7 linked regions of the Oryctolagus cuniculus genome follow. The protein of the gene in region 3 purifies or fractionates together with the protein of the main gene of each other region. This does not show direct contact. Links are inferred from orthologs where the notes say so. Each region holds a gene or a part of one and is shown on either strand. Other genes may lie near its edges.

The links.
Region 1: the proteins of CSNK1D (region 3) and CRY1 purify together in Homo sapiens (affinity purification with mass spectrometry; 3 studies listed by BioGRID and IntAct, counting the BioPlex papers as one, with this or other methods). This does not show direct contact. The link is inferred for Oryctolagus cuniculus from reciprocal best matches to the Homo sapiens genes CSNK1D and CRY1.
Region 2: the proteins of CSNK1D (region 3) and FAM110B purify together in Homo sapiens (affinity purification with mass spectrometry; 3 studies listed by BioGRID and IntAct, counting the BioPlex papers as one, with this or other methods). This does not show direct contact. The link is inferred for Oryctolagus cuniculus from reciprocal best matches to the Homo sapiens genes CSNK1D and FAM110B.
Region 4: the proteins of CSNK1D (region 3) and FAM83H purify together in Homo sapiens (co-immunoprecipitation; 5 studies listed by BioGRID and IntAct, counting the BioPlex papers as one, with this or other methods). This does not show direct contact. The link is inferred for Oryctolagus cuniculus from reciprocal best matches to the Homo sapiens genes CSNK1D and FAM83H.
Region 5: the proteins of CSNK1D (region 3) and VPS13B purify together in Homo sapiens (affinity purification with mass spectrometry; 3 studies listed by BioGRID and IntAct, counting the BioPlex papers as one, with this or other methods). This does not show direct contact. The link is inferred for Oryctolagus cuniculus from reciprocal best matches to the Homo sapiens genes CSNK1D and VPS13B.
Region 6: the proteins of CSNK1D (region 3) and PER1 purify together in Homo sapiens (affinity purification with mass spectrometry; 4 studies listed by BioGRID and IntAct, counting the BioPlex papers as one, with this or other methods). This does not show direct contact. The link is inferred for Oryctolagus cuniculus from reciprocal best matches to the Homo sapiens genes CSNK1D and PER1.
Region 7: the proteins of CSNK1D (region 3) and CRY2 purify together in Homo sapiens (affinity purification with mass spectrometry; 3 studies listed by BioGRID and IntAct, counting the BioPlex papers as one, with this or other methods). This does not show direct contact. The link is inferred for Oryctolagus cuniculus from reciprocal best matches to the Homo sapiens genes CSNK1D and CRY2.

The regions. Positions count from the first base shown.
Region 1 is NC_091442.1:109,558,288-109,561,787, forward strand, and holds part of CRY1 (cryptochrome-1), read right to left. Parts: intron 2,780-3,500; coding exon 2,595-2,779; intron 2,220-2,594; coding exon 2,131-2,219; intron 1,601-2,130; coding exon 1,460-1,600; intron 1,379-1,459; coding exon 1,067-1,378; intron 1-1,066.
Region 2 is NC_091437.1:83,119,174-83,123,185, reverse strand, and holds the start of FAM110B (protein FAM110B), read right to left. Parts: upstream 2,801-4,012; 5' UTR 2,456-2,800; intron 1-2,455. UniProt on the Homo sapiens protein: May be involved in tumor progression.
Region 3 is NC_091448.1:745,859-750,134, forward strand, and holds the start of CSNK1D (casein kinase I), read left to right. Parts: upstream 1-1,476; 5' UTR 1,477-1,807; coding exon 1,808-1,883; intron 1,884-2,358; exon of another isoform or gene 2,359-2,496; intron 2,497-4,276. UniProt on the Homo sapiens protein: Essential serine/threonine-protein kinase that regulates diverse cellular growth and survival processes including Wnt signaling, DNA repair and circadian rhythms. It can phosphorylate a large number of proteins.
Region 4 is NC_091437.1:167,629,806-167,634,021, forward strand, and holds the start of FAM83H (protein FAM83H), read right to left. Parts: upstream 2,801-4,216; 5' UTR 2,651-2,800; coding exon 2,093-2,650; intron 1,365-2,092; coding exon of another isoform or gene 1,280-1,364; exon of another isoform or gene 1,276-1,279; intron 1-1,275. Other genes in the region: IQANK1 (IQ motif and ankyrin repeat domain-containing protein 1), read left to right, coding at 1,280-1,364, 3,976-4,065. UniProt on the Homo sapiens protein: May play a major role in the structural organization and calcification of developing enamel. May play a role in keratin cytoskeleton disassembly by recruiting CSNK1A1 to keratin filaments. Thereby, it may regulate epithelial cell migration.
Region 5 is NC_091437.1:125,326,540-125,330,039, reverse strand, and holds part of VPS13B (intermembrane lipid transfer protein VPS13B), read right to left. Parts: intron 1,732-3,500; coding exon 938-1,731; intron 1-937. UniProt on the Homo sapiens protein: Mediates the transfer of lipids between membranes at organelle contact sites. Binds phosphatidylinositol 3-phosphate. Functions as a tethering factor in the slow endocytic recycling pathway, to assist traffic between early and recycling endosomes.
Region 6 is NC_091448.1:52,646,310-52,650,594, forward strand, and holds the start of PER1 (period circadian protein homolog 1), read right to left. Parts: upstream 2,801-4,285; 5' UTR 2,662-2,800; intron 2,439-2,661; exon of another isoform or gene 1-2,438. UniProt on the Homo sapiens protein: Transcriptional repressor which forms a core component of the circadian clock.
Region 7 is NC_091432.1:20,094,738-20,098,237, forward strand, and holds part of CRY2 (cryptochrome-2), read right to left. Parts: intron 3,404-3,500; exon of another isoform or gene 3,361-3,403; intron 2,309-3,360; coding exon 2,168-2,308; intron 513-2,167; coding exon 201-512; intron 47-200; coding exon 1-46. UniProt on the Homo sapiens protein: Transcriptional repressor which forms a core component of the circadian clock.

The sequences.
Region 1 (3,500 bases), on a different chromosome or scaffold from region 3:
TAGTTTGCACACACATAATTCTCAAAGCAAGCATTTTTGAGGTCACTGTAGATCAAAAGTCAAGGCAAAGAAAATTAGCACAAAACTGTAAAATCAAAACATTCCAGTTAGCTTCCTTGTTTGTTCTATAATGAGGAATAGCAGGGAAAGAAAAATATTGGTAATATAGATTAGAGAATTTACTTTTCCAATCCTTGCAGTGTTACTGGGGGAAGGGTAAAAAAATTACTAGAGTCACTGGTTTAAAAGATAGGATATTAACAGAGAAAAAACAGTAAACCACTTTCAAAAAAGCAAAACCACTACCAAATAAATCACCAACAAAAACTTAGAAGCTTGGCATAGTGGCCTAGATAAAGGGAGCACACTTAAATACAAATGTACTTTAAAAATGTACTAATATTACACAATTTAAGTTTTAAATTTCTTGATTCAAAAAATAGAGTTAAATAAATGATTATAAATTGACTAAGTTTTTGCTACACATCTTTATATACAATTTTGTACAAGGAAATAAAGGAGATGTAAAAAAAGGCTCAAAATTGGTCCTTAGATAGGGAAAATTTATAATAATGTCAGAAAGGGAGAACATATTTGTAAATCCTGTTACATAAAACCACAATATGATATCATAAAACATAGTATGTTTCACTTTACATAACAGAAATATTACTAAAAAGTTACAATGTTGAAGTAAGGTGAAATGATTTACATTCTAAGATTTATAATATAAATTCACTATTTCTGAGAATTCTTAGGCAAATCTTTTTTGTGACAGAAATGAATACATATAAATATATCTACACGATAACTCCAGAATGCTAAATCTTACAGTTCTCTTAAATCACAGCCTGCTTTAAACATTTAAATGAGTTTAGGTCTATTGTCTTAGCCAGTTTTCAGCATTTCTCCTGTCTGATTATACCATCCTGCTGTCCAAAAGTATGCCTATACTGTGGTGATTAAAAGTTTTATTCACTGAAACACTAGATTATAAATGAATCTGTACAATATACAACATCTGGAGTTCCTTCAAAGACCTGGCTACAGTTCTTAGAACACTTACCTTCATGCCTTCTTCCCAACTGATCCAGAGGTCACCTCGTGTCAGGAAGCAAGCAACTGCGTGTCTGGCTAAATGGTGAATCCACCCTTCCTGACGAAGCTGTGTCATGATGGCATCAATCCACGGAAAGCCTGTTTGACCTTCAGCCCATTTGGCTAATGCCTCAGGATTCTTATCCCAAGGAATCTGAACACAGATGGGGTTTCCCTCCATTTTATCAAAGCGTGGATTATTTGTTGCTGCTGTATAGAAAAACTCACGCCACAATAGCTGCCCATAAAGAGAAAGAGGAGGGGAACTGTTCTTCTTTACCTATGATTAAAAGGCAAAGAAGTATTATCAGCAAGTTTTAAAAATGTATTTTGAAAGGTAAGCACTGATTTTAAAAAGTACCTTTTTGTAGAGATCTGTCAGTTTGAAGTAGAATAGTCTACATGACAAACAGCCAAATCGCAAATAAGGACTGAGCCCAGTGGGGCTTGCAAGCAAGGAATTAGCATTCATTCGAGGTCTTTCAAAGTTTGCCACCCAAGCCTGAAAACACAGAAAGAATCACATTGTCTTTCCCACTTAAACACAGTATTCAAAACAGATTTTTTTTTTAATAAAAGTTTCCCAGTTCTCTGGGAATAATTTATTATCCAAGCCACAAGTTACATATGTTTATTAAACATGAAAGAAAAGTAAGCATTCTTTCATTTCAATTATCATGCAGCACAGACTCATGTGAAACACATAACCTTCAAACTCCCAACACATGCCTGAGATTACCTTCCACTGCCCACTGAGGTTAACAGAGGATTCTATTCTAATTCCAAAATTATGGTCATCGGAAACCAGGTTAAGTAGAAAGATAGGAAATAACCAAGAAAAATAATCAGAAAAGCAGGAGAAAGGGCATTTAAATGAGGTAGTTAATTTTCAAATACTTAGGTTTGTGTAACTTTATTTCCCTGAACTCTTCTTTTTCAACATTCTACTTTTTGTTTTTAAAAGAGAATGAAATTATTTTTAAAATGCCAGCTTGGAAATAAAACATGGCTAGATGATCTAAATTGTCATACTTTTCTTTCCAAATGCCTTTCCAAACGTGTAAGTGCTTCAGTTTCTCCACCAGGCCACACTGCAGAAGATAAGCCATCTGTATCAAAACCTACAAAAAAACAAATAATCAATTTTCTGGAACTAAAACGTTTTTTATTTAATCACAGTTGTGAAAACAATTATTTTGCAGAAAAATTATGAGAACAGCATGAGCGAATTGAGGGCCTGGAGAGATGCTATGACATAGTCTCTGTTCTTTAGGATGTACATCTTAAGGTGATAGCAACAGATATAGAGAGAGCACATAAATAACTACAGAATTATCATTTCTTAGTTTAGCAGTTTTCTTCTTCTTTCTTTCCCCCCTCACCGTTTCCCTTTTAATGTATTAATACTTCATGTGGAAAAATCAGAGGTAAAATTTTATGAGTCATTTATGACTTACAAACTGTTAAGTTCCACATTTATTACAGTTCACACCCACCTAGCTCTTCCAGGGAAGGGACTCCATATTTCTCATCATGGTCATCAGACACAGGAGTTGTGCACTTTTCTATCACCTCTGAAGTAATTGTCTCCACTGGGATCTCTAGAGGTTCCATCTTGCTGATGAGAGTCTGAAATCTTTTATAAGTGAGAGGCGGTTGTCCACCATTGAGTTCTATGATCCTGTTATAAGAGTTAATAAAGAGCAGTTAATATAAGATACATTGGTGTGATGAGCTCTAAAAAAGGCTTAAAATCAGAAAATAATTAATCACATAAGAGTTCTAATAGAATGACAATTTCTTACATGACCAGGAAATGTATTCAAATAGTTAATGAGTCTAAAACACATTTTCTTCATTTTGTAGATATCTGCAAGATGTCAAAAGTATACACTATGCAAATACCATAACCTTTAAGATGAAGAGTACTAACGACTTATGAGTGAAAAAATCAAGCAGCTATAGTAGCCTAAAAACAATAACAAAAACATTTTTTTAAGATTTATTTTATTCCTTTCAAAGGCAGAGTTACAGATAGGGAGAGAAAGAAACAAAGAGGTCTTTCATCCACTGGTTCACTCCCTGAATGGCCACAATGGCTAGGGCTGGGCCAGGCCAAAGCCAGCAGCCAGGAGCTTCTTCCTAGTCTCCTACTTTAATATAGGAGCCCAAGCATTTGAGCCATTCTCTGATGCTTTCCCAGGCACATTAGCAGGAAACTGGATCAGAAGTGGAGCAGCTAAGACTCAAACCAGGACCCATATTGGATGCCTGCATTGCCACCAGTGGCTTAACCCATCACAATGCTGGCCCCTATAACAAAAACTTTAACACATGTGGACATGTGAAAAACATATTACAACCAAGCTCAAGGAATTCTTCAATCATCAATAAAAATTAAA
Region 2 (4,012 bases), on a different chromosome or scaffold from region 3:
TGGGGGTCCTCCAAGTGGAAGTGACCAACCTGACTCAAATACAGAAAAATCAAAGTCAAGGATACAGTTGCCTAAATAATATTTCTGCAAGGCTTGTCTGTCTAACTGCAATACCATGGTTTTCAAAGAGGAAAAGCCCAGCCAGGTAACTACCCTAAAAAAAACAGTTAAAAATACAAAGGGAAAACTTTTCAAAAAGCACAAAACCTGTATTCCTGAAAAATCTGCGTGGTAAGAATAGGTTCTGGAGAGGCACAGGCAACCGGACTGCTACAGTAATCCCTGCTGGTCCACCAGCATTATCCACAGCACCACCTACTGCCACCTCACGGCGCCTGCAGCAGCTGTGGTTCCTCAGGCCCCAGCAGTTAACACCATGCCTTGTTTAGCTAGGAAGTTATGGAGGAAGGAAAAAGATGTCACTTCACCGTTTAGCGAGGAGAGGAGCTTGAAGTGAGAGTTGATCCCTGATGGTCTTTCAAAATCGCTAAACAGTTAGCACCCACTGCTTACCAACAGGCAGCAAACACACCATTTTGATTTTTCTTTTCCTGGCCAGTTAGACTACAAATCCTGTTCTAAATACTATAAACCATGGATAAGACTGATAGGCTCTGGTTGATGTATTTTTAGCAGATCTATCGATCTGTAATTACCTTTTACCACAATGGGACCCACTTAACGCTGCTGTGCCAACATGTTCTTTCAACTAGGAATCATTACTCTCAACCTAGAGTAGGGGAGAGGGGGGCACAGTTCAGGGACAAGATTCAGACCCTCAGACCCTAGATTTTCCCTAACATCTGGGCCTCTCCTTGGACAATCAGGCCCGTGAAGGATTCTGAGGTCTCCTAATTATAAAGTGCACCAGGACAGGGGTGGGTTCATAGCTATGGTCCTTGCAGGCCACTACGTGAGAAGTTCTAAATCAGCCCTTACCTACCAACATAGAGAGCAGCTTGCCAGGCACAAGTAAAACCACCACCCACCCCTGATTCCATCCCAAAATTAAACCAGACTTGAGCCAAAAGACCTGTAACAAAAAAAACCCAAAACCATCAATTTCCAAACCAAAAAACACATGGACTTATATATAATACAATTCAAAACAATGCTAACTGACACTTACTTCAGGCTATATGTTGGGTCCTGCTCTAAGCATTTTATTGATTATCAGATTGGCAGAGCACTGCCGTCTCTCCGTTCAGTCAGTGACTTCATGGTGTACCACCTCCAGAAATACCACAGGTCAACTATCATAGCACAAAGCCATGAGATTTTACCACTGAAGAATTCCAGGTTACCATGAACCTGCCCTTATGTTAAAATAACTATACTTATGAAAGAGCACATCTGAATGACCACAAGTTGCAATGGCAAAAAATGAGGACAATAAATTGGTAGAGGTTCTATTCCAGGGAATGACTCTAAACATATTGCAAAAATGCTTGTTCTACAATCATACTCTCCTCTTCAAAAATAAACCAGTGTGCAGTCCTTACAACGCCAGCCATGCGATGTTGTCACAGATGTGTGCCAGATTCTGCACGGGACATAACTTGGCTGTGAAGAAAACCCGCAGAGTTTATCGGTATCTTAGGCAGCAAAGAAAGCCTCATGTTTGTGTGCGAGTGTCTTAGCAAATCCGAGTCACGTCTTGAAAGGGTTAACTAGCCCAGCACCAGGTGCTTTCTTTCCACTGTCCAGAGTAATTTAAGCACGCATCAAGTTATCTTCTCCTCAAGCCAGCTTAGGAGACTTGTCACTGCCATTTACACAGTGCAGCTCCGGATCTCACGACAATAGGAGGGCACCAGGCCGGGCAGGGCAGCCACCGGGCTCCCACAGCTGGCATGCGCTTTGTTGCCAAATTGTGAGCTCCGCCGGGGGATGGGGATAAGCGTGAGCCAAGGGTAATTTAATTATATTTCAAATCTGTATGCTTTCAAAGAAAGTACAAGCGAGGGAGCCACTGGAGGGGATAACCCCAAACAAACTTTCAGAGCCATGGAATCTGCATACCTTGCAGTTCACTCCCAGCCAGGGATGAGGAGATACTGGTATTTCCAAAGTATTTGGCACGGAAATCAGAGATGGGGCAAGCAGCGGTGGCGGAGGAGAGCCCCGGTGCCTCGCCGACCCACTCCTCCACAGACACCCGCCGGCGCGCCTCCGGGGCCCAGCCCGGCTACGCAGCGCAGTCGGCTTCGCCCGGCCCGGAGCTCAGGGCGGGCAGGGCGCCCCCGCCTCCCCGGAACCCCGGCCCGGTCCGTCAGGGCCAGCGAAGCCCCCATGCCGGGCTAGACGGAGATGAGGGCAGGGCGGGGAGGCTGCAGGAGCAGATCCGGCTTCGCTCCGCCCGCGCGCGGCTTAGGCATTGTCCACTGACGGAGCGCAGCGCGGCCACCAGACCCGGACCCCGAACCTGCAGCAGCACTCTGACCCCCAGTCTTACCTCGGCCGTGCTCCCTGGCTCGGGGCGGCGCGGGCCAAGCCGGCGGTCAGGCTTCCAGAGACGGCGAGGAGGGACGGTCTGGGCCCGAGAAGGACCGAGGGCCGAGGGCGGGCTGCTGGGGCCGCCGAGTCCTCACCGCCGCCAACGCCGCCGTGGGGCTGCGGGCAAGGAGCAGGGAGGGTTGGCCAAGCCGGCCCAGGACGCGCGGCCGCGCAGGGCCCAGCTGCTGGCGGTGGCCGCGATGGTTCGGTCTGCACCGAGTGGGAGGGCTCCGGCAGGCTCCGCCGGAGAGCGAGGGAGGGAACTTGCAGGGAGTTGCTGCGACCGAGAGCGCGTGTCGCTGACCGAAGGGGACACGCCCCTCCAACGCCCCGCCCAGCTTCTGCCCCGCCCCGTCTCACCTGCCCCGCCCAAGCCCCGTCCCGCCACCCCTACCGCCTTCCCGCACCTGCCCCCAGGTGAAGGCTCCCCTAGATCAGAGCCTAGGACCCCAGTTCAGGCCGCGTGACTCTCGCGACCTGGAGTTTGTGTCCTCAGTGTGATAATCCACTTGGTAGCCAACCCATACCGACCATTGTGGCTCTGGGCACCATTCTCGGTTTGCTAACTTTCAAATACTTAAATGGACTATTGCAATATTATTTATAGGCTGCGTTTCTGGAAGTGTTTTCTACATGTTTGTGTAGAATAGAATAAAATAGTAATCCTCAGGCCTGATGTACTGCCCTTAGACTGTGGGCCAGCTGATGTTTCAAATTAAGTAAATGGAGTGCATCACTAGTCATCTCATAATATTTCCTTAACACGTTTAGAATTTTTAAAAACTATTTGCTTAATAACTTGGTTGGTTTTCTTCAGGGAGGCTATCTTGCTTTAGGAAGACTAAACACAGTTTTGCTACTGGGAGCTCTAAAATATGAAATCCGTTTTTACCAAAATGACTGGATTTAAGTGAAATAGGGACTCACCATAATTCCTTCTCAAAAATATTTAGCAAATATTTTCTCTAAACTTTAGAAAACATTGGAAATACAATCGCATACACCACATTTTCTCAACAAGGCTATCTACACATACAGGTACTTAAATGGTTGTGAGTACTGTTTCTTTTGAATTCAGAAATTATCAAATAAATAAAGGTCAGACCTCTGCAATAGAGTTTTGGCCATTTACAAGATTACCACATTAAAAGGCGACATAACACTGCGTTTTCAGTGCAAGTTTCCTTTGGTATCCTAATGCATTGTTTGTGATCACAGATATGTGTGGGGAGCAAACCGGACTAGACTGAGTTACTGGAATTAAGACTTATTCTATGCATCTGCTCTCCCACAATATGGCGCTGGGAGAGAAGTAAACAGCTTCCGCACAGCTGCCTCCAGTTCAACCAATAAACTGTAGGACTTGCTACTGATTGGAGGAGAGCAGCGTACTCGGCATGTGGGCAGCCGAGTTGGGATTGGCGGAGGAGGACTATAAAGGAGGAGAGAGACGGCATGCACCAGGAACATCTATGGGGAACATCTAAGGGAACCCGTGCAGCCCCCGAGAGAACCG
Region 3 (4,276 bases):
AACCAGGAGCTCTGTGCAGGTGTCCCACGTGGGTGCCGGGGCCCAGGCACTCGGGCCGTCCACTGCTGCTTTCTGGACCGGAAGTGGTGTAGCGGGGACTCTAACTGGCGCCCATCTGGGATGCCAGCACCGCAGGAGGCGGCTGAACCCTGACCCCACTGAGCTCGCATGCAAGTCACCCGCCCCCCCTGGGCCAGTGTTTCTGTGGGCCAACTACTGGAGGTGCCGGCTGGAGGCCACCGGGGCCAGTCCCAGCAGTCAGGCAGGAGCAGCCGCCTGGAGTGGCCTCGCTGCTGCAGGGGGCTCCGGGGAACCTGACGTCCAGTCTGGCCTCAGGTCACTCAAGTGGGCAGAGGGGCGGAGTCGGAGCACAAGGGGCAGAAAGGCGGGAGCAGGGCGCTCCTGGGGCTGGGGGATGCCTCACACGGGGGCCGCAGCCGGTGCTGGGGCAGCTGGGCAGCACCGCTCCCGCCGGGGTCCCTCCTGGGCGCCACAGGCACCAGCTCTGGTCCCGGTGACACCCCCTTGTCCTGAGCCGTTCCGAGAATGAGCAGCAGGCCGAGGGGTTGCCCCAAGCCCTGCAGCTCCTCGAGGCGCTGGCAGGAACTGCAGGGAGTGGGCGCCAGGCTCCTCCTGCCCCCCTCCCCCGCCTTCCCGCAGAAGAGCTAGGAGCACATTGTGTCCACGAGGTGCAAAATCCACCTCTGACCCGTGAGCCCGAGAACCTGGTTCCAGGCCTGACTGGTGCCCGGGGCCCCAAAACCTGACCTCCAGACGTTGGGGGTCAGGAGGCTGGATGGAGCAGAGTGTGGCTGGGGATGCGTGCCCTGGTGCTCGCCTTCAGCAGGCTGGGGAGCACGCGGAAGCCCCAGAAGATCGCCCTTCTTGGGCCCCCCCCCCCGGGGTGTCTGGAGGGGACCAACCCCGTCGGGATGCCTGGAAGAGCCCCCCACCGTCTCTGCGGGCAGAGCTCAGGCACAGGGATCCAGAGCTGCCTTCGGCCTTAACTTTGGAGTCCGTGACCTCCTTCGCAAGGACGCCCAGACCCCACGAAGCTGGGACCCAACGCTGACTCCGGCCAGCGCCCAGCCTCACCCCGCGTCCTTCCTGCGGGGGCCCGCACGCCGTTTCCGCGCTCGCAGCCTACAGGGCTCCCTCCGGATCGGGGCGGGGGCGGGGGCGGGGGGAGGTGTCAGCTCCAGCCCCGGGAGCCCCCGACCCCCGTCTCCTTCCTGCACACGACCCGCTCGGGTCCTTTCCTAGGTCGGTCGCGAGGCATCTGCGGGGCAGGGGACGCCGGCACGTGGTGCCCGCTGGCGACAAGACGACGGGTGGCCTTGGGTGGCGGGGACCGAGGGGCGAGGGGCCGGGGTCCGGCGTTGCGGGCGCGGGGCGGGCAGTGCGCAGGAGCTCGCTCGCCCCGCCCCAGCGGCGAGGCCCCGCCCACCGAGCGGCGAGGCCCCGCCCCGCCGGGTTGCTAGGGGAAGTGACGTCACAGCACGATGGCGGCGGTTCCTTTAGGCAGCTGAAGGGGGATTTAGGCCCGGAAGATCCGAGTCCATCCGCGGCGGGGAGAGGGCGAGCTGGGCCGGCACGGGCCGGAGCAGGGGCGGCGGCGCTCGAACTGTCCCATCCGCCCCGTATTGAGGCGCTGGGAGCGGTGGAGCGGCCGGAAAGCTATGGTGAAAGCGGGGCCGTGAGGGGGGCGGAGCCGGAGCCGGACCCGCAGTAGCGGCAGCAGCGGCGCCGCCTCCGGAGCTCAGACCCAGGAAGCGGCCGGGAGGGCAGGGGCGAGCGGGCCGCCGCCATGGAGCTGAGAGTCGGGAACAGGTACCGGCTGGGCCGGAAGATCGGCAGCGGCTCCTTCGGAGACATCTATCTCGGTGAGGCCCCGCGAGCCGCCGCCGCCCCTCCCCCCGGCCGCCCCTTCCCGCGGGGGACCCGCACCCCGCAGCTGTCCGAGGCCGGGCGGCCGCGGAAGGCGGGGGCGAGGGCTCAGGAGCCGCCGGATCGTGGCCAGAAACCATCGGCCGCTCGGCGGACAGCGGGGTCTGGGGGTGGGCAGGACGTGGGGGGGGTCAGCGAGGCCTAGGGGGAGGGGACAGCGGCGCCTGGGGATGGGCCGGGCCGGGGGCGCAGTGGCACCGAGCAGTGGGACGAGGTCCGGTGAGGAGGGGGCTGGACAGCAGGATCGGGGGCGCGGGGCCTCCGGGAGGGGGTGCCGCCGGGTCTAGGGGTCTCCGGGCCTGGGGGCGGGCAGGGCCTGGAGCAGGCAGGGGGCAGGGCCGGGCGGCAGCGTCCTCCGCTGGCCTGAGGTCGCCGCCGTCAACAAAGGCCACTGTCCCCCGTCTGCGGTGGGTCTGGCGCCTGCTGGGGCACCCGCATCCCCGCACTGCACACGTGTGGGCGAAATGTCAGCATGACCTGCGTGCTGGGGGCGGTGGGGGGGTCCCTGTCAGAAACGGCTCCTGGTGGCTTCCGCTGGCCCCCTTGCAGGTAACTGACCGGCCGCGGGCCCTGTGGGCCGCCCCTCCCCCCCGCGCACGCACACACACGCGCGCACACGACACCTTAGTCCCCAGTAGGAGGGCGGAAAGTGTTGTCTGGGCCGGGACGCGCCCCGCAGCCATTTCCGGGACCTGTGGGCCCTCGTCCGTGCCCAGGTGTGGGCCCCGGCAGAGGCCAGTGACGGGTCGGGAGGCGCACGGTGCGGGATTTCCCGGGAGCTTGGTTCCGCGGTGGAATCCCGTTCCTGAGTGACTCCGAAGCCCGGGCCGGCAGGTGCACTTGCTGTGAAGGGCGGGTGAACAGGCCCTGCCTCTGTCCTGCGCTCCGGCCGTCGAGGGCGGAGGTGGTCGTGAGGACCTCTGGGGCCTGGGTGCTTCCAGGCCGCGTGGATGTCTGAACCTGAGTTTCTCCCTTAATAGCCTGCTGAGTAAAACATGCTTCAGAGGCATTTTAAATATTTATTCTAAGTAGTCTGCCAGCTGCGCGCTCAGCAGTGCCGGGAGCCGGAGTGCCGGGTAAATGGAAGTAGTTGGCTTATTTATAGAACAATGGATTTTTGGCAAAAGTTTTAACCTCAGGATTTGGGATCTACACCGAAAAGCCAGCCCATCAAGCACCCTTCCGTGGGCATCAAAAGGGGAGGCTTTGACACTTTGTTCTGCGGCCTGAGACGGCTTTGTGCTGTCAGAGGTGGGTTCAGCCAGTCCAGTCGTGGCACGGTGGTCACCAGGCGACTCACGGACACGGGAGCTTCCTGTGGAGTGGAAGCCCAGTGAGGCGCCGTCCTCGGCTACCCCGCTGTGCTGGCTGGGCACGCCGTGGCACTGCGTACAGTCCGGCTCCAGAGGCCGCTGCCTCTCACATGGGCTGTGGCCCGCATCCCTCAGGGCACGACCCGTCTTCCTCCAGCAGCGTTGGCGCTGGGCCCACGGCTGACCCTCTGAGGACAGGCTGTGCAGGCTGGTCGTGCCTGTGTCGGACTTGAGGTGTCGCGACCCCTTCTCGTGTGGCGTGAGTGCCCTTGACCCTGCCCTCCTGCTTTGAGCTCCTACCTGGCATTTCGTGTGCTTCCAGGTGTTTGGAGCTGGAAGGAGGGAAGGCAGGGGCGGGGTGGGGCCAGCACCCTAGGGCTATTTGCCAAATGCCTGGGCTCCGGAAAGTGTATGTGCTGGGTTTGGGCCGCTAAGAAATTCAATGTCAGTTGTCAGTCTCAGCCTGCCGCATCCAGAAGTCTCTTCAGAAGGGCAAGCTGGCAAGGTGTGGCAGCCCGCACACCTGTGGAGTGGCGCTGGTGTGGGCCGTGGCTGTGTGCCCCCTGCGCTGGCACTGTGGTGGCCGTGTATGTCACCATGTGCTGGAGGTGGGGGGTGTCCAAGGCAGTGGAAACCCCTTTCACTCCTACACACTTGCTAGCCTCTGAAAACAGAGGACGTGTTCCTAGTGTGGACCGTGTGTTCCCAGCCTGGCATCCCAGGGAAGAGGCCGCGCAGGCTGGCGGGGCCCGGCACGGCTGAGCCTCTGTCCTCCGTCGCGTTGGTCTCCAGAGGCAGGCGGTGGGAGCTGAGTGCCGGGAGGGGGGCCCTCGCCGGCGGCTGGCGTTGGTCTCCATCCTGGGGAGGGGCCCTGAGCAGCCTCTTTTGGTTTTCACATTTCCCCCGGCTCAGCTGTCTCTGGAGCGGCACCGCGCGGGGTGTGTAGCACGCAGAACCCCACAGTGCTGGCGGCCTGGAGAGGAGAGGAGTTCCCGATTCTTCTTCCGGCATCGCCC
Region 4 (4,216 bases), on a different chromosome or scaffold from region 3:
GTCTGGGGGGAGAGCTGGTGTCAGGGTAGGAGGGGTCTGGGTGGGGAGAGTTGGGGCCAGGGTAGGAGGGGTCTGGGGGGAGAGCTGGGGCCAGGGTAGGAGGGGTCTGGGGGGAGAGCTGGGGCCAGGGTAGGAGGGGTCTGGGGGGAGAGCTTGGGTCAGGGTAGGAGGGGTCTAGGTGGGGAGAGTTGGGGCCAGGGTAGGAGGGGTCTGGGGGGAGAGCTGGGGTCAGGTTAGGAGGGGTCTGGGGGGGAGAGCTGGGGTCAGGGTAGGAGGGGTCTGGGAGGGGAGAGCTGGGGCCAGGGTAGGAGGGGTCTGGGGGGAGAGCTGGGGCCAGGGTAGGAGGGGTCTGGGGGGGAGAGCTGGGGCCAGGGTAGGAGGGGTCTGGGGGGAGAGCTGGTGTCAGGGTAGGAGGGGTCTGGGTGGGGAGAGTTGGGGCCAGGGTAGGAGGGGTCTGGGGGGAGAGCTGGGGCCAGGGTAGGAGGGGTCTGGGGGGAGAGCTGGGGCCAGGGTAGGAGGGGTCTGGGGGGAGAGCTTGGGTCAGGGTAGGAGGGGTCTAGGTGGGGAGAGTTGGGGCCAGGGTAGGAGGGGTCTGGGGGGAGAGCTGGGGTCAGGTTAGGAGGGGTCTGGGGGGGAGAGCTGGGGTCAGGGTAGGAGGGGTCTGGGGGGAGAGCTGGGGCCAGGGTAGGAGGAGTCTGGGGGGAGAGCTGGGGCCAGGGTAGGAGGGGTCTGGGGGGGAGAGCTGGGGCCAGTGTAGGAGGGGTCTGGGGGGAGAGCTGGTGTCAGGGTAGGAGGGGTCTGGGTGGGGAGAGTTGGGGCCAGGGTAGGAGGGGTCTGGGGGGAGAGCTGGGGTCAGGGTAGGAGGGGTCTGGGAGGGGAGAGCTGTGGTCAGGGTAGGAGGGGTCTGGGGGGAGAGCTGGGGTCAGGGTAGGAGGGGTCTGTGGGGAGAACGGGGACGTGGAGCTGGGGCCAGGGTGCGAGGGGTGGTGGGGGAGCTGGGCGTGGAGCTGGGGCCAGGGTTGGGTCAGCCTGGTGCCCTCGTGGCCCCTGTGGTCTGGAGAGGGTGACCTGTACTGGGCAGCAGACCCCGGAAGCCAGCGGGGTGGGCTAAGCCCAGAGTGTGGGAGCGAACTCTGGGGCTGAGGGGGACGAGCTGTTACCCAAGGCCTTGCCCAGCTGCTGGGCACCCCTGGGAAGCCATGGGGGGGCCTGTCCCCCTGCCCCGACCTCGGCCACGCTGAGCACCCCCTCCCTGGCCTTCCCTTCCCACTCCAGGAGAATGAACGGTAAGAAGGGAGGGGCCGTGGCTGCGCCAGGGACATGGCGGACACTCCTGCCTGGGCCGGAGCCGAGAGCCACTGCTGGTGAGTGTGGCCTCTGACCTCCAGGGCACAGCCACCAGGCACTGGCCTGGGAGACCCCTGGACATCTCCCCACGGCACCTTGTCTGGAGCCCCTTCCCGGAACGTGGCCTCAGTGGGTGTCCGAGTTGGGTTGACTGTGACAGCCCCCGAGGTGGGGTGGGCCTGGGCAGTGCTCGGAGGAGCCCAGCTTTGTCGTATGCATTGTCCAGGCGGCGGCTCCCGGCCTCTGCCGCTCGGGCCTGCCCTGGGCTCTCCCCAGACGCAGCCCTCGTGCAGGGGCCTGGCTTGAGCCCTGCCCCTAGAGAGCTCCCAGAGTCCCAGGGTCTGGTGGCGACTGCGCCTCACCTCGGGCAGGGTTAGGTCCCAGCTCCCCAAAATAGCCCCAGCGGCGTCTGAGGCCGCCCCTCCTGGAATGAGGTAATGAGTGCAGGTGCCGCGTGCTGCTTCCGCCACCCCAAGCCCTGGGCATGTGAGCAGCAATAAACAGGCAGGGCGGGCGGACCAGGAAGCACTCACAGCCTCCGACCGGCCTGCCCTGCCCCCTCCCCCGGCCCCCCACAGCCGGGTCCTCAGCAGGGGCACCGCGCTCCCCGGCTCGGCGTCTTCCACCCACCAAGCTTTGGTCTGCGCTGCCTTGCGACGGGCACAGCCTCCCTTGCCAAGCGTGTGAACAAGCCGTGGGCGCCCCCCGCCGGAGCCCCCCCGCGCCCCTGCCCGCCAGGCCTTACCTGGCTCTGGGTCTGCAGCACCTCCAGGCCGGCACTGCGCAGCTGCTCCAGGGCCACGGCCAGCTGCAGCCCCTCCATGTGCACCCAGGCCTGCTCCTCCTGCAGCTGCTGCAGCCACAGCTGCTCCTCCTGCCACAGCTGGCTCTGCAGCTGCACCTGCCGCCGCCTCTCCTCCAGCAGCAGCTGCTCCTGGGCCAGGCACAGCTGGACCTCGTGGAGCCGCAGCAGCTCGGGGCCCAGGGACGGCAAGGGGCCCCCCGCTCCACAGCCCTCCATCTGCTCAGCCGGGACTGGCACCCACTCGGACCCCAGGGCGGCGGCCTGCTCTGGCCTCACGGCTGCCTGGGGCTGCTCTGGCCCGGCTGCCCTGGGGTATCCTTGGGGAGCCAGCTGGATGCTGGTCACGTGCCCTGGAGGGGCCAGCCCCGTCTCACCCTGAGGGCCCTCTGTGGCAGGGGGCGGGAGCTCGGCCTCTGTGCCCTGCCGCCCTGCCGCCCGCTGGGCCCTGCCCGCCCTCCTGGCTCGGGGTTTGCGAGCCCGGCCTCGTTTGCCAGACATGGCCCTTCCGCCAGGTGTCCGCTCCCAGGGCCCCGGCTCGGCGGCCGCGCGCCTCCGTCGGCCAGCTCAGCGGGCACCTGCGGAAGGCCCCAGAGGGCTGCTGGCTCCCGTGCCAGGCTCCTGTAGTCCCCGTGCGCCCGCCTTGCCCCTCGGTCGTGCCCGCAGCCCGGCGGCTCTGGGCCCTGGCTCTGCCTGTGGCCCTCACGGGCCCCACTCGGCAGGGCCGGGCCACGCCAGCAAGTTTATGGGGACTCGGCGGCGCGGTGGCTCACCCGCCGAGAAGGCTGACTAACGTGCTGACACAGGGCCCGGGGGTTCTCGGGCCACAGGCCTCACAGGCCAGCCTGGGAGGGAGACAGAGTGGAGGCGGCTCTCGCAGCCAGACGGTGGTGCGCAGCCACGCCGTGCCCGGGCCTGCCCTGGGCGGCGCCGAGGCCCCCACCCCGCCCCACCGGCTCCCCTGCCCCACCCCTGGTCGCGGGAAACTCAAACTGTGTCCTAGTCCCACGGACCACGGACACTCAGACTCTCCCTGGCCACAGCCTAGCCCATCCGCTGGCCATGGGCGGCTCCAGCCTGGCTTGCCCCGAGCCCTGTGTGGACCAAGCCCAGGTGGACACTCCAAGGAGCCCCACAGGGCTCGAGCTTGTGGGGGACTTGAGAGGAAGGCCCTGGCCCCAGCGTGGTGGCCTGTGGCGAGGGCCTGGCGGCAGTGCCGGAAGCGGAGACAGGGCCCCCAGCCTGCTTTCCTGCGCCATGCCAGACGGCTGGAGGCTGGGGGCCAGGCAAGGGGCCTCCCACGACCATCCTGGGTGGGGGTCCCGGGGCTGGGGGGTGCAAGGCCAGCCCCCCCCAGGCTTCCTGTCTGGAAGGCAGACTCCAAAGGCCCCCTCCCGAGCGTTTCCCCAGCCCGGGGCTGGGTGCTGACTCACAGCGACGCCCAGGGTCCTGCCCAGCCGCCAGCTCTGCCACACTGGCTGGACGGGTTCGCCTGGTCCAGCCCTGCCCGGCGCACACCCCCTCCTGCCCAGACCTTGCCCCAGAGGCCTCAGGAGAAGGTGGACAGACGCCTCCCAGGACAGCACTGAGTTGGACACACGGAAGCAGGAGGCACCTGGGGTGGGGGTGGCACAGGTGCTGGGCAGGGGGCAGGGTGTGGGTGAGGCTGACCAGCAGGGTCCCCTGCCTGGGGCTGCAGCACGCCCGCTGTCTCCCTCACCCGAGGGCCTGCAGGAGGACGCGGTGGGGCCCCATAAATGATTCCTGAGGTCGTCAGGCGGGGGGTCTCCCAGCCCGGCCACCCTGACTGTCTCGCCCCTCCCCAGGGCAGCCCGGAGAGAGGCATCAGCCGCCCAGGAATACGAGTCAGCAAGTGAGGGCGCCTGTGCCCGGCGAGAGCCCCCCGGCCGCTGCAGGTGAGGACACAGCCGCCAGGAGGGCCAGCTGGCAGGAGGGGCTGCCCTGGCCAAGGACACGGTGTGCCACGCATATACGCAGGTGTATGGCATGTGCCCCACCTGTACTCAGGCATGTGTGCATATGTGCCACACACGTACTCAGGCATGT
Region 5 (3,500 bases), on a different chromosome or scaffold from region 3:
CTGCCTGGCACAAGGGCCCTTCTTCCCCTGCGGTCTCAGCTCTCTGGAGAGGCCGAGATGCCAACAGCCGTCCCTCTGCCGCCTGGCTGGCCGGGCAGTGCCACAGCGGGTCGGTAGGTAGAGGGCTCTTTGTGCACCTTAGGAGCACACAAATCCTCGGAATTCCTCACCTCCGGCTATTCATGAGCAGCGAGGAAGAAACCCACCCAGCTACAACTGGAGTTCTTTTAGGCCTGGGGAACGAAGGGCCGGCGCTAGGCTCTCTGGCTGTGCTAGGATGCTAAGAAAGGGCCTCAGTGCCCTTTAGCAAGGGGCTAAGCAAGCATTTCCTAGACTGAACTGAAGGCCCGAGTTAGGGAACAGCTAATATCACAGCTGTTCTTAGCGGCGTGTTCACCAACAGCCAAGCCAAATGCTGCGTACTTGACATACTTTCATCTGATCCCCTCAAAACTCTCTTTCTTTTTCTGTCCCCCCCACCCCCTCAATCTCCCACCTCTGTAGTGCTTTGCTTCCGAAGAGAGGAAATGAAACCTTACAACTTCACGGGAAAGACGTGAGTGAACTCACTTGGCTGACTCGTTCCACCCCAGAACTTTTTCCATCTTCACCAAACCACTTCTCTGACGAATGAGGGATGGGATCTTTGTGATGTTCCAAAGCCAGTGTCTCTCTCTATGCTCCTCCCTCCTGAAAACTCTTACACCCATTTTACAGATGAGGAAACTGAGGCTTGGCCAGGTTCAATACCTTGCCCCAAATCTTACATCTAATGCGGCAGAGTCTAGATCTGAATCCTGTTCTGTTTCATGATAAAGCCCCCTGTGTCACCTCCCACCGACTGCATCCTTGTAACTCGAGACAGTGAAGGCAAACCCAAGGTGTGTCATCTTTGCCTGGCCCGAGAGCACCATAGGCCCTCAGCTGGTGTCCTTACCTGCTCGGAAAAGGGCCCCGGCGGCGTAGTGCATGGCCAGGGCGTGCACGAGCTGCCGTGCGGTGGTGAAGACTGGGCCTCGCTCAAACATGGAGAAGGCGAGAGGCGTGTGGTCGGAGGCGATGTACAGCTTGAGGGAGGCGTGGATGCTGACGAGCAGACTCACCGGCTGGATCAGCAGCCTGCGGAGCTTCACAGGGTTCACCAGGGCCCTGGCGTGCTGGGTCACCTGTGCGGGCAGCTCCTGCTGAGCCCCGCAGGGCGCCCCCGGCTTGCAGCTGGGAAGGTACGAGTCGAACAAGGTTTTGATGTAGTACACAAACGTGTCTTCCACGTACAGCCGGGCGGGCTTCAGTTCAAAGGTGAACTCGTTAATATCAAGCCAAGAGCTCTTGCCATCGGTTAAGGTGACGTAAAGCTTGATAAAGCAGTTTTCCTTGTACTCCTCCAGGTCGGTGCCGGACGCGAGGAGACTCTGCGTTTTGGAACACTGGGTGGGCTCTGGCTTTTCTCCCTGGCAGACCAAGACCGCAAAGTGGAAGTTGGACTTGTTGTAGAGCTGGTTGTCCACCTGCAGGTCCCCACAGTAGACCTCTATACAGTGCAGCTGGAAGAGGGCAGCGGCGGGCTCCTCCCCGGGCAGCGCACTGGCCCCAGGGCCCGCGTGCACCAAGACGTTGTCCAGCGTGAGCCTCAGAAGTTCCGCGGACGCTCTGTGGTGGCTGAGGTCATCAAACACGGCCAGGCTCAGCTGCGTGACGAACGTTTTAAACGTAACGATCTTCTCCAGGGTCCTAGAGCAGAAGCGGAAAGAACCTTAGTGGCCCCGGCTCTCCTCCCTTCCTCCCTTCCATTGACGATGGTGCCTCACTCAACACCTCCTGATGGGGCATCAGGGTCTACCAGACACAGTGAGAACTCAGGTGTTTGGACAGAGCCGGACGCTCCTGGGGAAAGTTCACTATGGGACGATTACAAGCTCTTGTCGGCTCTGTAGGTGTCTCCCTTATCAACACCAGATTTGTACTCCCAAGTCCCTTGAGTCACTGTGCACACATTCTCTATTGCGATAATCACCGCGCAGAAAGAAGAAAAGAACGAAGACGCCTTCAAGTGAAGAAGTGAAGCAAACCAAAGAAAATGCTGCACGCACTCCCAGCGCCGCTGCCCACTGCCAGCGCCCGAGCCGAGCCCAGGCCTGCGGAGCGCCTGCCTCGGCCACCCCCTGCCTCGGCCGCCCCCTCCCCGCACGCTGAGCCACCCTGCTCTTCCTGCTCCAGGACAGTGCTGAGCAGGTCCCGCCCCCTCTAGACGGCCTCCTTGATTGCTCACAGCCCGCCAGGCCTGCTCTTTCTCCCTCAGATGCCCCTCAGGTCTCTCCACTCGTCCTGCAGGTCCTCTTCACACATGAACATCCACACTCAGTCTCCTGTTTCTCTCCTCGTTCTGTCTCAAGCTTGCTCCAAGCAGGCTTTTGCTTCCCATCTAACAAAACAGCTCTGGTCCAGGTCAGTAGAGTCACACGTATTTGACTACGACGGGAACTCCCTGCTCCTGCCAACACTTCCGTCCTCTCTCAGAGCCTCCTCCCCTCTGGCCACTCACCCGCAGGTGTTCAAGTGAATAAGACCCTTCTTTTGCACTAGACCCCTTGAACCGGCAGGACCAAGGCTCAGCCCCTTACCGTTTCCCCTCCCCTCGCTCCTGACCTCCCTGGGGACTGCATCCGGTCTCGCGACTTGACAGGGCACTGGAACGCGGAAGCCCTCAGCTCCTGCACACGCAGCTGCCTATCCATGTGGTCGCTCGGATGTCTGACCGACATCTCAGCTTCCCGTGTCTGGGACCAAACTCTCGACTTTCCCCACTCAACTCACATCTAGCCTTTGCCATCGCAGCTAATGGCAACCACTCCCTACCAGTGCCTTGCCCCAAATCCTGCAGTCATCCTTCACGCCTCCGTTTTCAGCTGCTTTCCGATGCACTGGGGCAGTCCTGTGGGCTCTTCCTTGACAGGACATCGAGCATCTGACCACCTGGCCTCGTCTTGCCACCTCAGCTGACACATCCACTGCAGTGTAAGCCGCCAGGAGCTCTGGGGTGAGCACCTGTCACAATCTCCTACCCCGTTTCCCTGCTTGCTGCTACCGTGTTTCTCTGTAGTCTCCTTCCACAAAGGGTCTTCTGGAAGTTTAGGGCACAGCTGTAAGTGCCCTGCTCAAAATGCTCTGACCTGCCCATTTCACCATGGCAACCCCCGAGGCCTACGCCATGTGTCTCCCAGAGATCTGGATCTCTCTGGTCCCTGTGCTACAGGCTGGGCAGCCCTGACTGGAAATGTCAAAGTCCAGAACTTTTTGTGCACTGACATGATGTCCTAATTATGAAATTCAACACTGCATCTCACGTGAGGGGCTGCAATAACAACACAGGTATGCTAAAAATACTGTATAAAGCTATTTTTCGGCTATGGGTATGAGGTATATATAAAACACAAATGAATTTCATGTTTATTTCAACATTATTTATGTAATCAACACACACACACACAGGGGCTGGCGCT
Region 6 (4,285 bases), about 52 Mb from region 3:
GGTCGGTAAACGTGATGATTCTGTTTTCAACAAGGATGGCAAGGAAAGACGGCGAGGGGCCTCAGTGGTGAAGAAGCCACGGGAAATTTCTAGAGAGAGGAGGAGCGGAACACGGAGTCCTAGGAAGGGAACGGGGGCCTGATTTGGGGGGCAAAGGGCCAGTCTGGGTCCAGGAGGCTGTGGTCGCACAGACCAGGGCTGTGAGGTGCCCTTCCTTCCAGGGCTCCCTGGACATGTGGGCAGCAAGTGGAGGCCCCCACGCAGCTGCTGACATAATCAGCTGTGGGTGCAGCCCCAGCACGGTCACGTGGTCTAAGCTTTCCTTAACAATCATGTTCCCCGCGGGGGGGCGGGGCAGAGGGGAGGGCCCTGTGGGGTGTTGTAAAATAACCTGGAAAAACTGAACCAGGGAGACAGAAAACAGACTTCTTAAAAAATGACCTGCGACACCTCCCCCCCAATACACACACAAATGTACACGCGCGTGCCGGCCCACGCTCATACACTGTGGCCCCGGGCCTGTCTCGCCGCAGACCCCTCTTCTCGGAAACATGGCTCTCCTCCCCGCCCAGGGCTCCTCGGGGATTTAGGTGCGATCGCTCCCATCTCCACCTCCGTCTCCGTATTCTTTCTGCACAAAGGGCCCGGCGCCCCGGCAGCCCCCGGCCGCTCGGCCTCACGGTCCCCACAGTAACCGGGCCCCGCTGCTGCCGTCAGTGCTGGAGACGGGGGCGGGGACCCGCGGTGACGTCAAAGCGGAGGAAGGGGGCGGGGCGAGACGGCCGGGGAATGTGGGGCAGGGAGGTTGGAGAGGCTGGAGAGGCAGCGGTTTGGGAGGCGGCCAGTCCCACAGGGCGGCGGCCAGCGCACTTGGGAACATCGTGTTCTCTTGGCTGGAGGCCCAGGACATGCACTCAGCTTGGGCGCCTCCCCCAAACCTAACGACAGCCGTCCTGTCCCAAAGCCAGAGATTCCTGGAGAGAGGATTAGGAGGAAGGGGTCCCCCGCCGCCGCCCCCAGGCCTGGCTCTCGGTCCAGAACTCGGCGTCTGCCAGCCCTTTGGCTTGTGCCCGGCAGTTTCTGGCGCTGGCTTTCCCCCTTCCCCATACTGTACACATCGGCTGGCCCGGTGCCCAGCAGCCGGGGCGGGGGAGCTCGGAGGCCCAGGTTCTGCGAGTGAACAGGCACCTTTGCTCCCTCCCGGAGGCCCCCTTCGGAGCCTGAATCTCTGGTTCCTATGGCAGCAGAAACCGAGCGAGGGAGGAGGGGCAGCAGAGAGAATGGGTGTAGGATGAGGAAATCAAACTGGGACAGAGCAGTGGCCCAGTCTGGGGCCTGGATGCTGGGAGAGGGATGGAAGGGAGGAATGAGGGAATCTGGGCTGGTGCCTGCAGACCAGGAAGAGGGAAACGGGGAGTCATCAAAAACTTCCAGAAAAACATGAGAATGCGCGCACAGTTCCCAGGCACAGCACACCCTGCCACTGTTGTTTTGTCACCCTAAAGCCAATTTTTTAAAGCTACATTTTATTTAAATGACCCAGGCATCGTGCTAAGCACTTTATATACATTATCTGATTTAATTTCCAGATGGATGGGTGTTATTATCCCCATTCCGTGGGAACAACTAAAGCCAAGGAGGCACTGAACCGGCCGAAAGTGTCTGCTTCCCGGCTTACTCTGAGCCTGTTAGCAAATGGAGTGCAGAGTTCAAATCCGAGCTCTAACAATGGCTTCTCATTCTGGCGTCTTACCCTTGGGGAACCTGGGAGGTCTCAGCCGGCCTCTAAGCTGCATTCCAGCAAACCTAGGCCTCTTGTACCCAGCTTAGATTCTAAGTCTGCTGCCTGGAACACAGACTCATCCAACCCCTCCTCTGCCCGGGACCCAATCTTGAGACATTCTGTGTGCACTCCCACACACTTCTCATCGCAATAGCCCATTCCCCGAGCTCACAAAGTCCTTGGGATCACTCTAGCAGCCAGAAGCTCCAGTGATTTCCTAGGAACCCACTTCCAACAGGCCTGGTTGGTTGCACCAGAGCACCCTCTTAATGCCTCCCCACCTGCAGGGGCCCTGGAAGACATGGACACAGCCAGACTGCACATCCCGCAACCCTGTCCTCCCTCTCAGAACTCAACATTTGCTAATGGCCTGCTTCTATTCCCAAGAATGGTCTGGGAGAGACACCCAGAGTAAGTCATCGCACCTCCCTTTCTCAAATCACCATGCTAACCCCGCAGTACCCTCCCAAGGTGCCAGGGTCTCCAGCCTCAGAGCTCTGCCTCCCTCCAGTCCTTAAGGCGCCCCCAAACGCCAGCCATGCACTGGAACACCCCCGTCAGCTCTCAGGAGTCTCGCTGGGAGCAGGGGCTTCAGCTCTTTCAGATCATGGAGGGCTTTTGAGCCCCTCCCCGGGCACTCAGGGGTCCAGGCATCCTAAGAGGCACAGGGATGTGATGACAGCAACTCCCACCCCTACCCCGACTTCTGGGTCTCCCTTCCTCACGGCCATCAGAGCTCTCGCTGCGAGGATCACGCATTCGCAGGCTGCCTCCTTCCTCTCCTCCCCTCCATTCTGTCCCTCCCCCAACTCAACACAACGACCCGGAAAAGCCCGTATCGACCGCCCTTCATCTCTTCCCCACCCCTGGGCACTCACCGCTCCGCGCGCACGCAGAAACCCAAATTTCTCCACAACTGGGACGGACCCTAGCGACTCCACAGGCTCCTCCCGACCCGCCCACTGGCCGGGTTGCCACGCCCCCCGAGCTCATTGGCTCACAGGCACCGACCCATGCCCCGCGCCGCGTGCAGCCGCTCGGCCCCCGCACAGCCTCCATTGGCGCCTCCGGCCGCCGGCCTCTTCTCATTGGTCAGTGTGCCAACCGGCAGTGATCCTTCCACGTGCGGGAGGGGCCACCCCGGCGCGTTGATTGGAAGCCTGGCCGGAAGATACGCCCCCATCCACTGCCGAAATTCTTATTGGCTGTGGGGACAACCCTCGACCTGCCTAGGGCCGTGACGCAAATGCCAGTCCTGCTCTCCAAACTTTTTCATAGGCTGAGAGGTCTCGGAGATGTAGGGGACACGTGCCGGCGGCCTCACGCGGCAACTTGTTTACCCAGAAGCTGGGGATTTTCCTTGACGACACACAGCACAGACTGCTGAGTGTGCGCAGGCGCAGCGAGCGGGCCCTGCACGCAGGCGCAGATGCAGCGGCGGTGGCGTAGGTGGAGGCGTTTTGTGCGGAGACCCGGGCGTGACGAGAGCGCCCACGACTCTTTTGCTTCCGGCCTTGCATCCGTGAGGCCGCCGAAGCTGGAGGGTGTATGAGACGGAGGCCCTCCTCAGATCTCAACGTGCGTGACGATGAGGGCGATGAAGACGATAGCGCTCTCCTGGTCGTTTCGTCTCGCGGACTCCGAGGCCAGCTCTGTTACTACCTCCCCACCCCCACAAAGGAGTGCGAGCCAGAGAAGTTACATAATCTGTCCGGACTAACACGTCAGTAATGGGCCTAACGTCTGAACTCGGGTCCCTAACACCATGAAGAGGGCGAATCCTAAGAACCGCGGGGACCTAAACCCGGAAGGGACTCAGGAGTTAAGCTGCAAACCCCTGGCGTATAGTGAGCCCTCGAGAAACGTGGAGAAACCTCGTAATCACAAGAATCACCTGCCCAACAATCTCCGGGGAGAGTCCTGAGAAAATATTTTTTAATTTTAATAAAGATTTCAGGGGCCAGCGTTGTGGCGTAGGGAGTAAAGGTGACGCTGGCACCTCATATGGGCCTCGGTTCGAGTCCTGGCTGCTCCTCTTCGGATGCAGCTCCCTGCTAATGGCCTGGGAAAACAGCGGAAGACGGCCCGAGTCCGCGGGTCTGCAGAGTGAAACAAGGAGGGAGATTCCGTCGGCTGGTTCACACCCCCACCCCCCAAAGAGCCTCAATGGCTAGAGCTGGGCCAGATCGCCCATGTGGCTGCAGGGGCCCAAGTGCTGGGCCATCTTTTGCTGCCTTCCCGGGCTGGATCGGAAGCGGAAGTGGAGCAGCATTCTAACCTGCACTTTGATATGGAATGCGTGTTGCCAGCAGCTGCATCTCTGCAACCCTGGAAGTCTATTTTTAACATATAGCACCCTTAGCTCTTAGGAGCCAACGGGTTTGTCAAACAGCGTGGGTTTCCTGTACTGCTGAATCTTCATGTTGCAGTCCGGAGAAGGCGGCCCTCCAGAACTCACCCAGCACTCTATCCACTGTTGAAACCTGCTGGGTGCCCCATCAG
Region 7 (3,500 bases), on a different chromosome or scaffold from region 3:
CCGCGTTCACGCTGAAGTCGGCGTCCAGAAGCAGCTCGTCGAACACCTGGGCGGGGGCGGGGACGAGCAGACTCCTCGGGGATCCGCGGCCACGGTTCTCCCCCAGGGGCCCAGGGCCAGCCACGGAAGGCTCCCACGCCATCCCCCCGCCCGGAGAGGGCAGCCCACAGCTGGGCTCGGCAGAGGGAGCGGGCACTCACCCGGACCCCGCTCTCCCAGCTGACCCACAGGTCGCCGCGCGTGAGGAAGCAGGCCACGGCGTGCCGCGCCAGGTGGTGGATCCAGCCCTCCTGCCTGAGCTGGGTCATGATGGCGTCGATCCAGGGGAAGCCCGTCTTGCCCTCAGCCCACTTGGCCAGGGCCTCGGGGTTGCGGTCCCAGGGGATCTGGATGCAGATGGGGTTCCCCTCCATGCGGTCGAACCTGGGGTTGTTGGTGGCTGCCGTGTAGAAGAACTCACGCCACAGGAGTTGCCCAAACAGGGACAGGGGAGGGGTGCTGTTCCGCTTCACCTGAGGGCGGGGGCGGCACGGACACGTGAACGCTTGCCCGGCTCGCTGCGCCAGGCCGCTCAGGTCCCTACAGACTCCAAACCTCCTAGACAGGCGGAGGGCCTGTCCTCTGGAAGAAACGGCGCAGCGCACCTGCAGACTCAGCCCCGGCCCTGGCAGGCAGCAGCAGATGGCCTGAGTGCTTGGGCCCCTGCCATCCACACGGGAGACTTGGACGAGCTCCTGGCTCCCGGCTCCCGGCTCTGGCCTGCTGCAGCCATTTAGGGAGTGAACCAGTGGATGGCAGATCTCCGTGTCTCCCTCTCTCTCTCTCGCTCTGCCTTTCAAATAAAATCATTTTAAAAAAGAAAAAAACTTTTAAAAAAGATGTGTAGGGAATGTAAGGGGAATCATTACAGGGAGAAGTTAGTAAGTCTAAAAAATGATATTTAAAAAAAAAAAAACAAAAAAACCAGAGTGGTTGCAGAAAGCCAGGCAGGGTGGGCAGGAATCAAGCCTGCCAAGACTGGCCACGGTGGTTGGCTGCACTTTCTAGATAGTCAAGGGGAGTTCTCTGATCAGAGTGCATAAAATGCTCGGTCCAGACATGGGGTAAACAGGCTGCACACGCAGGCTGGGTCCATGGAGGAGTTAAGAGACCAGCCTCCAGGAGTTCCAGGAACGAGAGGTGCAGCAGGTAAGATGCCACTTGCGATGGCTGCCTTCCATATTAGTGCCAGGGTTCAAGTCCCAGCTCCACTCCCAACCGCGGCTTCTCGCTAACGCACGCCCCAGTGGGTGGCAGGTGGCGGCTCCAGGGGTTGGGTCCCTGCCCCCCAACCTGGGAGACCTGGACTGAGTTCCTGGCTCTGGGCTCTGGCCCGGCCCGGCCTCAGCCGTTGTGGTCTTCTGGGGAGTGAACCAGGGGATGGGGGCTCTGTGTCTGCCTGTGACTCTCAAATCTATCAATCGATAATAAAATAATAATTTGTTTACAAAAGGGATCAGATCTCTAAGCAAATAATGATTTTCCTAAAACCGTAAGATTACCCCCCCCCCCCAGTTGCCAAGCTACCAGTGGCCTGAATTCATGACCTTGGCAAGGACAGGGAAACGTCAGAAACGCAGCCCCAAGGAAGAGCCGCTGACTGGGGACTGGATACCTGTCCCTTCTCCTTCCAGGGATGCCTGTGGGCTGCTGGTCCCCATGGCCGGGCCCCCATGAACTCTCTCCCCCTGCCTCGAGCCTTTCTCCCAGCGCTCATGGGCAGGTGCAGCCCCTGGACAGTCCCTTCAGTGCTCTGGGGGCAGCCCCAGAGGGCAGCTGTGCTCAGTGCAGGACTGGCTCCAGCCTCACCTGCCCATCGTCCCGCGCTGGGGCTCTGGTGCACATCCACCCCCAGCCAGTGGACCTGCTACCTCTGGGCCCCCCGCGGCCTCCTCTGCCCCACAGGACCACAGGGGATGGATGCAGATCAGTGATTCACTGGGCGCGTGGCTCTGCCAGCCCTTGCGCACTGACCCTTCCCCACCCACTCTGGACTATGGGATGTATGACACAGGCCCCCACCTCCAGGGACAGGATGGGGACCTTTTCCAGGGTGACTGGCAAACGCAGGAGGCCCAGGGCCACTTGGCTGCAAGCGGGGAAGGCACACAGGCCGCACTGCTCTCACCTTCTTATACAGGTCCCACAGGCGGTAGTAGAAGAGGCGGCAGGACAGGCAACCGAAGCGCAGGTAGGGGCTGAGGCCGGTGGGGCTGGCCAGCAGGGAGTTGGCGTTCATCCGGGGTCTCTCATAGTTGGCAACCCACGCCTGTGGAAGGGGAAGGTGACAAAGCAAAGAGCTGGGTGCTACGGAGGAACGGAGAGCCACGGGGCCAGGGCTTGCACGCCGTGCTCACGCCACTCCTCGGAAGCTGTGGATCTGCGTTCTGGCCCTGACTTCGCCAGTGAAGCTGCGGATGAGTGTAAACTTTGTCCCTCAGCTGTTTCTCTATTAAATAACAGCATTTCCCCTCCCCTGAGATGAAGCGAAATGAGACAGCCAAGAACTGGAAAAAGACTGAGTGGACTCCAACCATCAGAGGAAAGGAAAGGCTTCTCCTCTACAGAAACAAGGCCCGTCTCTGGTCACCAGGGCCTCCTGAGACTGCCCTGCCCCACGCCGCCCGAGGCCGCGGCTGCCGTCACGCACTCTCCGTCAGATCTGCACGGCCCCGCGAGGGAGCCTTGTCGTTGCCTCCTTTGGAAAACGAGCACCGAGGCTCAAAGGTTCTGCGACTCACCTGGGGGCCGGGGAGGGCGGGCTTCCGAGTCCTGACCAGGCTCTCCCTGCTACCTGTGCAAGTGTCCTCCTGCGCAACCCCTACGCCCATCCTTCGGTTCCTGGCACCCGGTGACAGACTGCTTGCCCCGCCCAGGCCTCCACTGCACACTTCCCAGCTCCACCCCTCAGCAGACGAGAAGGCAACACGAGCCACCAGGTAGCCACCTGCAGTCACTGAACCCCCACCTGCATCCACGCCCACCCTTCTCCTCCCCTCCCATGACCTGGCTCGGAGTCCTCCCCTCTCTCCCCTTGTCTGTTCAACCTCCCTCTCTCCTCTCTCTCTCTCTCCAGTTTCCACTCCAAGAACACTCTTCTCGCTCAAATATACAAAGCAAAGGACACAGCAGTGCGGCTGGGCCTCCCCACCTGGGCCCACTGTGCTCCTTCAAAACCCACCTCTCTCTACTTCCCTCACCCCCGCCTCCACGTTCCAGCCCACCTGCTGGCTCCTGGCTTCTCCACTCGGCCACGCTGTCCCTCCCATCTTCCACGCCACGTACCCCACACGCATCCTGTTCTCCCAGCAGCACAGCACCATGGCCGGCTCCTGTCTCTCCTCCGGGGATTCCCTGGGCCTTGGTGACCTCACAGCTCATGGGCTGCTCTTAGTCTTCCCTGAGCCCCTCCCCCTCCATCTCTCTCTTCAGTGCCGGCAGCCCAGGGCTCTGTCGTGGGC